Linked DNA regions of Saccharomyces cerevisiae S288C. The protein of the gene in region 2 binds, or shares a complex with, the protein of the main gene of each other region. Each region holds a gene or a part of one and is shown on either strand. Other genes may lie near its edges.

Region 1 (4,921 bases), on a different chromosome or scaffold from region 2:
TGATCCAAGAACAGTTGATATTGAAGAAGAATTAGCAGCTCATCAGCGTGAACTGGAGCAAAACCTAAAAGATGGTGATTACAATCTGGTAGGAAGCAAGGAAATCCCAGATCCAATCACCGTTCCAGCTCCAACTAGACACACCACTAAACCCGCCGAAAGCCAATCGATTCCCATCAAGAATAATGAAACCTTACACAAAACCACGCACGGCCTAAAGCAAAAATTGCAACACGCATAATCTAGTTTTTTTTTTTTTCTCTCTTCTTTCTAGCTAGTAGTTCATTTCCTTTTCTTTTTTTCAAAGAGGTCATATTTATCACCAACTATATATTTTTTTGAAGAAAAGATATCATTACAACGATAAGTAGTTACAATATTTTTTTTATTTAGTTTAAAATAATGAGTAAATGACGTCGCATTTCTTCGCTTTTGTTATTTTTATTCTCCTCTCATTTTTGAGGAGAATGTTACAATATTTTACTAATGTCCTGAATAATATTTGATTTATGGCATAATAAAGAAATGCGAATTCGTTAATTTGTCAAACTTCGAAGAGCATCAACTGCCTTCCTGAATCCCATTCTTGCAGCCCTCTGATAATATTGTTTGGCCAGATCCAAATCAACTTCACAACCGACACCTTTTTCGTAATAAAATCCTAAGGCAAATTCAGTGCGGGCTAATTTACCGTCTGAACACTTGCTGCTCTTCAAGGCCCAGTTGAATGCCTCTTTATTGTTTGGTTTCAAAATATTTGGTGCTCCCGTTAAGTACCATCCACTTAAGGATAACATTGCCATCGGATTCCCCTTCGGCTGAGCAGCAGCAGCTTTGGAATACCAATATATGGATTTTTTGGCCACCACTGGCAACCCTAGGTCTCCAAACTCATAACAATTTCCTAATTTCCATTGCGCTAAAGGGTACTCAAAATCTTTGGCACATTGTTGGTAGTATTTTATTGCCAGTTGAGAGTCTTTTCGTATGCCGTTCGCAAATAATAGGTTCTGGATTTCTGGCGGCAAAACACTGAATTCATATATTTTACCTAACTCATATAATGTTTGTGGAGAGTCACCCTTTTGGGCAGCTTTATCAAACCATTTAATAGCTAGCAATACATCAGTCTTTTGCATGTTCAGACCGTATAAATGGCTCATCCCTAATTTATACATACACGCAGAATTTGAACAAACTTCTGCGCCATGCTGGTAGTATTGGAAGGCCTTTTTTATGCATTGTTCTTTGGTTGGTGATGGATCCAAAGAAGAGGTGCCCCTTTGGTATTCAAAGCATACACCTGCACGGTAGCATGCATCTGAATTGTTCAATTTCGCAGCTTTACAATAATATTCCAGCGCCTTTTCATCATTTTTAATAACGATGTTTTTGTTCTTTATAGGTAAATAGGGTTGGTGTGAATACAGCGTCCCCATTAAATACATGGCAGGTGGCCATTTTAAAGTTATCAATTTTGTGAGCACCTTGAATGAATGTTCCAAAATGACTTTCTGGTTTTTGAGCATTTCCTCAGGCTTTAAGCTTCTTTTGAGCTTCTCCGCGTTTATGTTATATTGCGATATGAAATCCTCATTAAAGGCATATGTAAGTAATGTTTCACACCATTGCATTTGTATCTCGGGGGTGAATTTTGAAGAGTCAGTAATTGTCTTCTTGTACACTTGATAGAAAGCCAATGCCTCTGGTGAATAGGAAGACAGTTTGTCCTCACCACCTGAGGACCCATTATCGTCTGTCTTCGCGCTCCCAGTGGGTGGTTGGTTGATTTTTTGTGGTGGAACAGGATTATTATTCAAAGGTCGTATTGGAGCTTTTTCCTCGGTTCTGTAAACTTTTTCCTGCAGTATCCTAGATTCAGATTCCTCATAGGGTGGTGGCGCTGAGTTGTCCCTTACAGACTCTGATATTCGATTTCCACTGCTTATTGATGCATCTTGTACAGCTGGTGAACCCAAACTCTCTTTTGTAGAACTAAAATTGAAAGGAAGTTCATACCTACTACCAGTACTGTTGGTGCCATTATTGGCATATCCTATTTCACCTGTTGGCTTGGAATTAAAAATGTCCATGCCGTTATTACTATTTATGGTTACTGGAGTGCCTAATTGACCACCATCAGCATTCCCGTCTGTGAAATTCAGCGCACTCAAAGGCAGCGATAATGATGAGGAAGATGAAGGGGATGTAAAAGGAATAGCTGGTGTGAGTTCAACGATAGAGTCATCCACTGGATAGGGTGCAGGCACTATATTTTGAGCTGGCAAACCATGCCTATCCGAATTGGCATTTCCCAATTTATGCGAGGACTCCCGCGCCCTTGCTGGTGGAAACATGTTAATGTGTTTGTCATAGAGGTTAGGTTGCGGTTGGCCCTGATTAACCATTGCCTACTGTATTAAAACAAAGTATTAAAACGTGGTGGTACACTCTGTACAAAAGAATAGAAGGAAATGAAAAGAAAACGGAGTTAAAATCTACTTCATAAAAAGAGACGCTTCCAAATCCAGTCTCTACCACGTTCTTGTATATAATTTGAGCAACTCAAATTAAATTACCGGGATATCTGCTTATTCTACAAGCCATAGCATCCAGTGCTAAGGTTCATCTCAAGCCATCTTCAATACACTTGATAATTAGTCGTCAATTTTAAAATTAGGTTTCGTTCTTGAAGGCACTTAACCTAAGCTTTTTACTATATGACCTATTAAACAAGTCTTTTTCATAGTGTAACCTAACGTTTATACACTAATAACCCTAGGGCTTAGTAGAGATTCATACAGAAAAAAACGTAGAGTTATAGCAGTAAACTGAGAAAAGAAAGAAGGTTAGTACAATTGAAGAGTAAGGAAAACAAAAGCTTTAGACCTTATTGGAAGTGCTTGGGCGCGGAGTGTGATTATAAATAATGTTGCAGCTAAGGTTTATGCCTGGATGGGTCCCCAGAAATGGTTTTTTTGGTTTGAAGGAGACAATTGGTACAGTACATAAGAGATTTTATGCTCTGGCTTCTGAACAACCCTCAAGAAAGACAGTAAAGCCGCTGGACTCGAGGAAGACGTTTCTCATCGATACATACAAGCATTTAATGGAGAACAGTTCTATGATTTTTTTTGTCCATTACAATAATCTTTCCAAAACAGAAGATCACCATTTCAGATTCAAGATTAAACAGACAGGAGGGAAACTCACAAAAGTAAGAAACAACCTGTTCGAAGTCTACTTGAGAAATTCGCATCTGCCCGACCCATGTGGATTCGTGAAGCGTAAAGAGCAAAACTGGAAACATCCACTCTTGCCACTACTGAAGGGTCCTACGGCCACAATTACATACGAAGACACCAACCCTCAACAAGTAGCCAAGCTATTGAAGGTTCTGCAGTCAGCACAAGACAAGCTGATGGTGATTGGTGCAAAAGTAGAAAACGAAGTTTTGAATGTGGAAAAAATAAACACTTTTAAGACTCTCCCCACAAAGCCGGAAATGCAGTCGCAGTTAGTCAGCGTTTTGCAAATGCTAAGTGGGTTGGGTTTGGTTCGTACGTTGGAAAACAGTTCAAATGCATTGTATTTAACACTAAAATCTCACAATGACAACCAAAAACCTAAAGAGGATGTGGAGTCAACTACAGATGCAGAATCGAAGGGATCAAAGTAAAAAGAAAATGCCCGTAATTCGACAAGTTTTATAAAGGTTTTACTATTCAATCATGTACATACATCATCAAAAAATAAAAAGACAATGAAGCAATAACGGTAAATATACTTTAGTCTATGTATTGACGTCAAAATTACCTTTCTTTTACCTTTCTTACCTTTTTACATATCTCAGCGACCGTTGAAAAAAAAAAAAAATGAAAAATTTTGGTGATGACTTCAGCAAAAAATTTCAGGATATTTCTGACATTTCACTTTATTAAAGCGCCACAAAAGCTGGATTAGTATAGATTCAGCAGTTCCCATAGGATAAAATTTTCAAGCGTTTATTGTTAAGATGAAAGCCAAGCCACTAAGCCAAGATCCAGGCTCCAAGCGTTACGCATACCGTATAAATAAGGAAGAAAATCGTAAGGAGTTGAAGCATGTAAAGATCAATGAAAGTTCTTTGGTGCAAGAAGGCCAAAAGATCGACTTGCCAAAGAAGAGATATTATCGTCAAAGGGCGCATTCCAACCCATTTTCAGATCACCAGTTAGAGTACCCAGTATCTCCCCAGGATATGGATTGGTCCAAATTGTACCCTTACTACAAAAACGCGGAAAATGGACAAATGACAAAGAAGGTGACGATTGCTGATATTGGCTGTGGATTCGGTGGGTTGATGATAGATTTATCACCAGCCTTCCCTGAAGATCTTATCTTAGGGATGGAAATTCGTGTGCAGGTTACAAATTACGTGGAGGATAGAATTATTGCCTTAAGGAACAATACAGCTTCAAAACATGGATTTCAAAACATTAATGTCTTGAGAGGTAACGCTATGAAATTCTTGCCCAACTTTTTTGAAAAGGGCCAGCTTTCTAAAATGTTTTTTTGTTTCCCCGATCCTCATTTCAAACAAAGAAAGCATAAGGCAAGAATTATCACTAACACCTTGCTGAGTGAGTACGCATATGTTTTGAAAGAGGGCGGTGTCGTGTACACAATTACAGACGTCAAAGACCTGCATGAGTGGATGGTAAAACATTTAGAAGAGCATCCTTTATTTGAACGGTTGAGCAAAGAATGGGAAGAAAACGATGAATGTGTGAAAATAATGAGAAATGCCACAGAAGAAGGTAAAAAAGTGGAAAGAAAGAAGGGTGACAAGTTCGTCGCTTGTTTCACAAGATTACCAACGCCAGCCATATTGTAACATAGATGTATAACTAGAACAATTTACCACATATACATAACTATT
Region 2 (2,536 bases):
GAGATTATTTGCTGAGTATTTAAGTCCCAGATTTTTATAATCCCGTCAGTCAACCCGCAATATAAAAATGGGAACTCAATAGTTTGGGATATGACGCTATCTTCATTGTCGATTTTATCGTTTATCAAGGAGATTTTAACAGTGTTTTGCCCTTTATCTTTAGAGAACTCCCAAAGCTTGCTTATTCCATCACCAGCGGATGAAATTATGTGCTCTGCACCAGAAGTTCGTGAGCTTTTTTCCAATAACTGATTAAACCTGGGACACAATTTATTAATAGAATAAATAAACCCATAATGTGCATATTTAATAATGTTTTCGGAGGGAACCTCTATGATGGCAGCGCCACAGTTTTCTTGTAGAGAGGTCAATGAAGTTTGAGATAATGAATTTGAACTATATCCAGTCGGACCTAACGAATCAAAGAACTTATCATATCTTCTATGCGGTAATTTATTGATATTTTCTACTCCATCAGAGGATTTTTTTTCAATCTTCTGAATCAAGTTCTCAACATATAGTAAGCTTGCATTTTGACAGCCAAAGACAATAGTTTCCAACGAATCCAAATATGCCAATGAGAAAATATCACCAATATCGGTCACTGAGTAAACAGTGGCTATTTCAGTAACAGGTAGAAAGTCATCTCTAATGGTCTTTTCGCCAATGGACCAAATTCTCACCAAAGAATCTGCGCCGCCTGAAAATAAAAAGTTTTCATCTTCTGATCCTGTCAAGCACAAAACCGAAGATCTGGTATGCGTTTCCTCTTGTGATTCGCCTAGTCTAATCGTATGTATTAGATTATATGTGGGAAGATCAAAAACCAATATCTTGGAGTCTTGGCTACCAGCAAACAACAATCTTTTTTTTGGAAATGCAACAATGGATAAGATGGAAAAAGCGTGATTCCACCTATGAATTAGTTCAGAGTGCAATGCGACACCCCTGCTATCGTACATGATTTCACAATTACTTCTGCCCTCGTTTTTCACTTTTCCTTACAGGGTTGTTCGGTTTCTCGAAATAGTTTTTCACTTAAATAATTCAGTTACACACATTTTATTGATATTGGTGCCACAGCTTTTCGCGGCGCACAATGCGATTATCACTCAAGTTTATGGTAAAGTCGGTATTCCCTCTCATGAGAAAAAAAAAAAAAGATACCATCTTCATTGAACTTCTAATTGCAGCAGTAATTGTGAGCAATGCTCAAGAGCTTCCTTACCATATAACAAAACATCGAAATCAGAGGATCATTCTAGATCAAAGTGAAATGCCCTTAACTATGAAAAGGAATACGAAAATAGCTGTGAAGTGTTATTATAATTATTAACAAGGTTAGTAATCTTTAAACAGAGCCTAATACTTGCGGGAAGGACTTTCAATGTTGCTTCACTGCAGCTTGTTGGCGGCTATTTGATGATGATTTTCTTGAGATACATAATTATTATTATCACGTTTCACGGATTATTTTTGAAAAGCTAGAATTAATACAAAAGATAGGACTATTGAAGTAGTATACACCAATTTTTGCTTAAAAAAACTACGGGAATCAAAGATTACCTTGAAAGTGAGGACAGCAAATAACTAAAATGAAAGGCTCACCCATTTCTCAATTTAGTAAGACCTCTATTAATGCTCTTACCAGGCCTTGGAAGAAATACAGAGATGGTGAATTATTTTATGGGTTATCAAAAGTTGGGAATAAAAGAGTGCCGTTGACCACGAAGCAAGGTAACAAGACGATGTACAAAGGGACAAGAGCTTCAGGGATTGGTAGACATACAAAATTCGGTGGTTATGTGATAAACTGGAAGAAAGTCAGAACCTATGTTACCCCAGATATGGTTAATTTCGAATTAAAGCCCTACGTTAACGCAAATGTACCACCTCTAAAACACGAATTTAAAGGATTTAGCGGCGGCCCATTAGATCCTCGTTTACAGTTATTAAAGATAAAAGAATACATAGTAAACGGGAGGGTACAAAGCGAAGGGGCCACCGACACTTCATGTTATAAGGAGCGTGGATAAGTTATTTATAATCTTTCTTCAATATGCGTGTAAATACTAGTTTTCGACTTTATAGGTAGATAAAAAATAAAACTTAAGATTGTAAAACAAAATCAAATAAAACATGGCTTAGACATTGCACCATATGTCATCTTTCTTTGAGTTAAATATAGATACATATAAATCTAAAAGAAGAGCAAAAAGTTCGTACGTATATAAATGCGCGTAGCAGAGAGAATTTGATCTTCTTTTTTGTTTTCCTTCTTTTTTTTCTTTTCTTTGTTTACATAGCACCTGGAACACCCAAGACTTGATTCAAAGCACTTTGACCGCCACTTTGTTGGTATTCAATGGTAATGACTTCTAGCAAAGAAAACCCACCAGCAATGCCAACAACTATACCAGCAGCTTTACCTTTCAAACCCAAAGATTCACCGATAACGGTGATCAAACTTAAGACGGATGCACCCGTAACAGCTGCGATTGGAATGACTTTGTTCAATTCTTTAGCGACATTCTGT
Region 3 (4,395 bases), on a different chromosome or scaffold from region 2:
CTTGAGGCACCATTACTGACTGCCAAGGCGAGCGCATTTGGTAATGGGCCGGAGTGTTTACCCCAGCCGACTTTGCAACGTTTTTTCTGGACTGTGAATCCATACAAAGAACTCATTGCATAAAACTGCGCAGCAGCAGTAGGATCAATGAATGTTACAAAACAGACGTATCGATCGTTCAATAGTTTTATACTTTGTAATAAACCTCCACGAACTGCATTACATATTTCTTCAATTTTAACATCCTTAGGCAAGCTGCCCAGGTAAACAGTCCTGTTACCCAAGTTATTGGGGCCGCCCGCAGATGTAGCAATTGCAGCAGCAGCAGCAGACTGTTGTAACAAAGCGTTAGATATAAATTCACGATCAGAAAACTCTATCATATGTTCCATACCAGGTTGTACACCTAGAAATTGAGCCGCATTATGTTGTTGAGTTTTGGTAATAAATGCACATCTGTCCTTTCCATAAAATATTCTCTTATTTTGATAGTATGGATTTCTAATTGGCAGATTCGTAACCACTTTTATAGCATTTAAAATAGACGCAAAATGAATAAAGGCGATTCCCTTTTCCTTGATAATTTTTATACAGTCAATTTCACCATATTCTTCTAAATCAACCCTCAATTGCTCCTCAGATAAATGTGATTCTTCGCCTTCAATCGTCATACGGCCAATGTATACATTTCTTGTGGCACCGTCCGTAGAGATTCTAGCCGCTACAATAGGATCAATTCGAGTTGGTTTCCCCCACCCGATTTTGATATCCCTGTCACCGATGTTCAAGCGCTTTAAAATTGCGTCTGAATGGAACAATAGTGCAGCACTTTCATCTATAAACGAAACGAATGCACACATCTTTTCAGGTATGATTTTGACGTCTTCAACGACACCACTTCTGACATGATCCAATAACTCTTTAACGCTTAGGTTTGGTGGCACATTACCCAAATAAACAGTTCTACTTGGGGCCGATGTAAAATTCAAAGGATTATTGGCTTGTGCATTAACTGGTAAAGGCGCATTTGCGTTGGTTACTGCAGTTGCAGTTGCCATAATAGTGGGTGACATGCCATCAGATAACACATTTGGATTCTCATCATCAAAAGGAGAGACTTCATTTGATGACCTTTCATATTCATAATAACGATTGTTATTGTGGACAACTTCGTTATCAATTTCGAAATTTTGTTCCTGTGAAAACCGTTGCTGTTGTGAATCATTTCGCTGCTTTGTCTGGAATTGAGTTGGTTGCTGTTGAATACGCTGATAATCAAAAATTCCGTCATTCTCGTAAAAGAACGAATCATTAGGCTCTCGTGTAAAGTCGGATGGTAAAAGAGTAAAATTACCATTCATAGGATACACAGCATCGCCAAAGTTTTGAGGGCCACTCGCATAAGTTTCTTGGTAAGGGCCGGAAGAACTGGACTGTTGATACATTGCAAAGTCATCGGAAGAAGGAAAAGGAGGGAACATGTTATTATTGTTATTATTATTACTGATATTATTATTGTTATTGTTATTGTTATTGTTATTATTATTGTTATAAGAAACCACCATGTTTTAATGCAATTGAAGTAGTATGTGATGGTGAAGAAAAAAAAAAATACAACGATAGTTCTTTGTTTTTCTTTAGGAAATATCTGAATAGAAAAGGCTTCAACGACCAGAATTGAAAAAATAAAATAGTATTAGCAAAGAAAAATATGATATTTTTTTTCAAAAAAAAAAAGAGTGTCCTTGAGAATTGAAGTTGGAAACGGATATTAATTAGACAAAAAAAATGATGAAGAAAGATAAAGTGAAAAATATGAGGCTGGAATGGACAGTTGAACCAATTAAGGAGCCTAATTGGTAAAGCAGAACAGGTGAGTCAGAAGACTTAAAAAGGGGCAAATATCAAATAACGGAAGAACGAAGAAAATAGAAGAATACAATGTTCAAAAGAAATGAAGCGTATGTGTATCTAAAGGAAAGGTACAGAGACTATCAGTTCTAGAAATTGTAAATTGGTAAAATAAACAGAGAAAGGAAGCTTAAGGAGAGAATTCAGTGGGGAATGTGACTCTGTGAAAATAATGTATAAGAGTGGGCAACGGTGTTCTCGTAGATATAGCGCTGTGCTGAACCAAGTTTAGTTTTTTTTACTTTCCACCAAAGGCAAAGAAACTGATTAATTTATTGCTGTGACGAAGGGATGGAGTATGATTGCGGTTGTGACTGAATCTCTTTGTAGACTTTCGGACAACCACAAGATCCACTTTCTGGTAAAGTTAATTTCAAGATCGTGTTTTTTTCTGTCTTTTCTTTCTCTTCTCATAGCCAAAATCGTACCACAAGGAAAAAAAGCACCGGGTTACCATGATGGTGGAATCCCACTGTAAGAACATAAGAATGATAAGTACGCAACTGCCACGGCAGTTGGAAGAAAGACATAGTCTGCCCTCATTCGGCGTGTATTATTGGACGTCAAGTTACCTTTTCCAAGTGTTTCCCTTTTTTGTCTTTTGAATTTGTCAATAGGGAGTGAAAGGTCCATAGTTCAAGGGCATTCCAAAAGTGAGGATAAAAAAAGCGTAGTCATAAACACTTCAACGGTGTTGCCGAGAATGACGACGGTCCGGTAGAAGGTGGTGCTTTTATCTATGTATTAGTTATTTACTATCTGCGTAACGAAACTATGATTTTTTTTTTCTCTCACCCAAGCCGAAATTAAAAATTCTGTCTTCGCACTTATTCCAAATAGAAAGGGAATGAATCGTGGAACTATTGGCATTGGGATATAGCCTCGATCTACTCGCATATAACGGCTACGGTTCATAGTACAAATCTCAGAATTTTTCAGCAAGCGAAAGGATTTCAAAGAATGTTTTTACAGACTCTCCGCCTAACTATGCCAAGGATGTTTTTGCACATGAAACCGTCCCCCATAACGATAACAAGGGCCTGCACAGTGCCCAGCCTCCTATCTGTTGCAGCTCCGCAACCAGCTCTTGTTGCAGCTAACAGACCTTTGGTTTTTAACAGAGGTTTCAAGGTCAGAACATCTGTCAAAAAGTTCTGCAGTGATTGCTACTTGGTAAGAAGAAAGGGAAGAGTATACATTTATTGCAAGTCGAATAAAAAACACAAACAGCGTCAAGGCTGAAAGATGTAAATCTCTTCGCTGTTCTCCGTTCGGGTGTTTACAAAATATTCTCATTTTCTAAAATCTGTAAATAATACATATCTATAATATTCTTTTATGTATATGTTAATTTTTTGTATCATTTTTTCCAAATTGATAAACCAACACCTCCGATCAGTAACGTTTTCTCAGAATCAGCATCTTCATCATTGGAAATGATTTCTAATGATCCTGTATCCGCCACAGTGGTACGCTTTTTATCTACCAGTGAAAGCTTGCCTGCGGTAATTTCCCAAGCGCGTATTACTTGATCAACCGATGTGGTAATGACTTCTTTGCCACCATTAATCAACATACCGGACGTTATTGTCGAAGAAGCTGCTGCAGCGATAAAGTCACTTGTTTTTAACGTTACTTTATTCGAGTCATCTAATTTCAGGTTGCTTAACCCTAAACCATTATCATCACCCCCTGTCAAAATTGTGGCGGAAGTTCTTGTAGCATTAGCAACATAGTCTAGGGACTTGACACCAGATTGATGTACCGGCAACTGCGCTACAGGTGCGGGAAGATTTGAGATAGTAGCGTCCAGTTTGTGGTCAACCAAATCGCCAGAAATCGGATCAACGGAAAATGGTACGTACTCGGTTATATTATAAACCACTAAATGTCCATCAGTTGGTGAAATGACAACAAGGAGCTCTTCTTTCAGTGCAATAAATACGACGTTGAATAAACAGCACGTCTTATAACGACCTTGCATGATCAGGTCAAACTTATTCTGATTTTCCCTATAGTGCCAAATCTTTATTGTTGAATCTGAATAAACAGTAACTAATAAGAAGTCACCTGACTGTGATATAAATTTGACATCAAAATCCATGATCCTTAGATCAGAATTATTTGTGGATACAGGTAAAGCTTGTCGTATGGTCATATATGGTCGTTTATTATACTTATCGTTCAATTCCCATAAGAATAACTCCTCTCTAGCTGAAGATGATATCATTAGTTTGTGATTTATAAACTGACAACGTTGTAATCCAGACACATGCTTTCTTTGTGTCCAAAAATTCTGCACCTTCCCTGTTCTATTGTTAAAATATCCCAGCTTAATTGTAGTATCTTCAGATGCAGTACAGAATATATGCCCATCCTTAAAATTGTCATTCGTGTTGGTATTTGAAACAGGACAGATTGAAATATCTCTGATTTCCCTTCCGTGTACACCATTTTCTAAAGTTTCAGGCACAATGGAGTTGT

Evidence for each region. The genes of interacting proteins can lie anywhere in the genome.
Region 1: MRPL27 (region 2) and MRPL11 share a complex: the UniProt entries of both Saccharomyces cerevisiae proteins name them as parts of the mitochondrial large ribosomal subunit.
Region 3: MRPL27 (region 2) and RTC6 share a complex: the UniProt entries of both Saccharomyces cerevisiae proteins name them as parts of the mitochondrial large ribosomal subunit.

Annotation. Positions count from the first base shown.
Region 1 is NC_001136.10:95,546-100,466, forward strand, and holds MRPL11 (mitochondrial 54S ribosomal protein uL10m MRPL11), read left to right. Parts: upstream 1-2,929; coding exon 2,930-3,679; downstream 3,680-4,921. Other genes in the region: RTN2 (Rtn2p), read left to right, coding at 1-241; ACK1 (Ack1p), read right to left, coding at 537-2,408; TRM8 (tRNA (guanine46-N7)-methyltransferase), read left to right, coding at 4,016-4,876. UniProt on the Saccharomyces cerevisiae protein: Component of the mitochondrial ribosome (mitoribosome), a dedicated translation machinery responsible for the synthesis of mitochondrial genome-encoded proteins, including at least some of the essential transmembrane subunits of the mitochondrial respiratory chain.
Region 2 is NC_001134.8:766,645-769,180, forward strand, and holds MRPL27 (mitochondrial 54S ribosomal protein mL41 MRPL27), read left to right. Parts: upstream 1-1,595; coding exon 1,596-2,036; downstream 2,037-2,536. Other genes in the region: glutamine amidotransferase subunit DUG2, read right to left, coding at 1-962; SSH1 (Ssh1p), read right to left, coding at 2,299-2,536. UniProt on the Saccharomyces cerevisiae protein: Component of the mitochondrial ribosome (mitoribosome), a dedicated translation machinery responsible for the synthesis of mitochondrial genome-encoded proteins, including at least some of the essential transmembrane subunits of the mitochondrial respiratory chain.
Region 3 is NC_001148.4:196,224-200,618, forward strand, and holds RTC6 (mitochondrial 54S ribosomal protein bL36m RTC6), read left to right. Parts: upstream 1-2,871; coding exon 2,872-3,153; downstream 3,154-4,395. Other genes in the region: MRN1 (Mrn1p), read right to left, coding at 1-1,565; tRNA (34-2'-O)-methyltransferase regulator RTT10, read right to left, coding at 3,272-4,395. UniProt on the Saccharomyces cerevisiae protein: Component of the mitochondrial ribosome (mitoribosome), a dedicated translation machinery responsible for the synthesis of mitochondrial genome-encoded proteins, including at least some of the essential transmembrane subunits of the mitochondrial respiratory chain.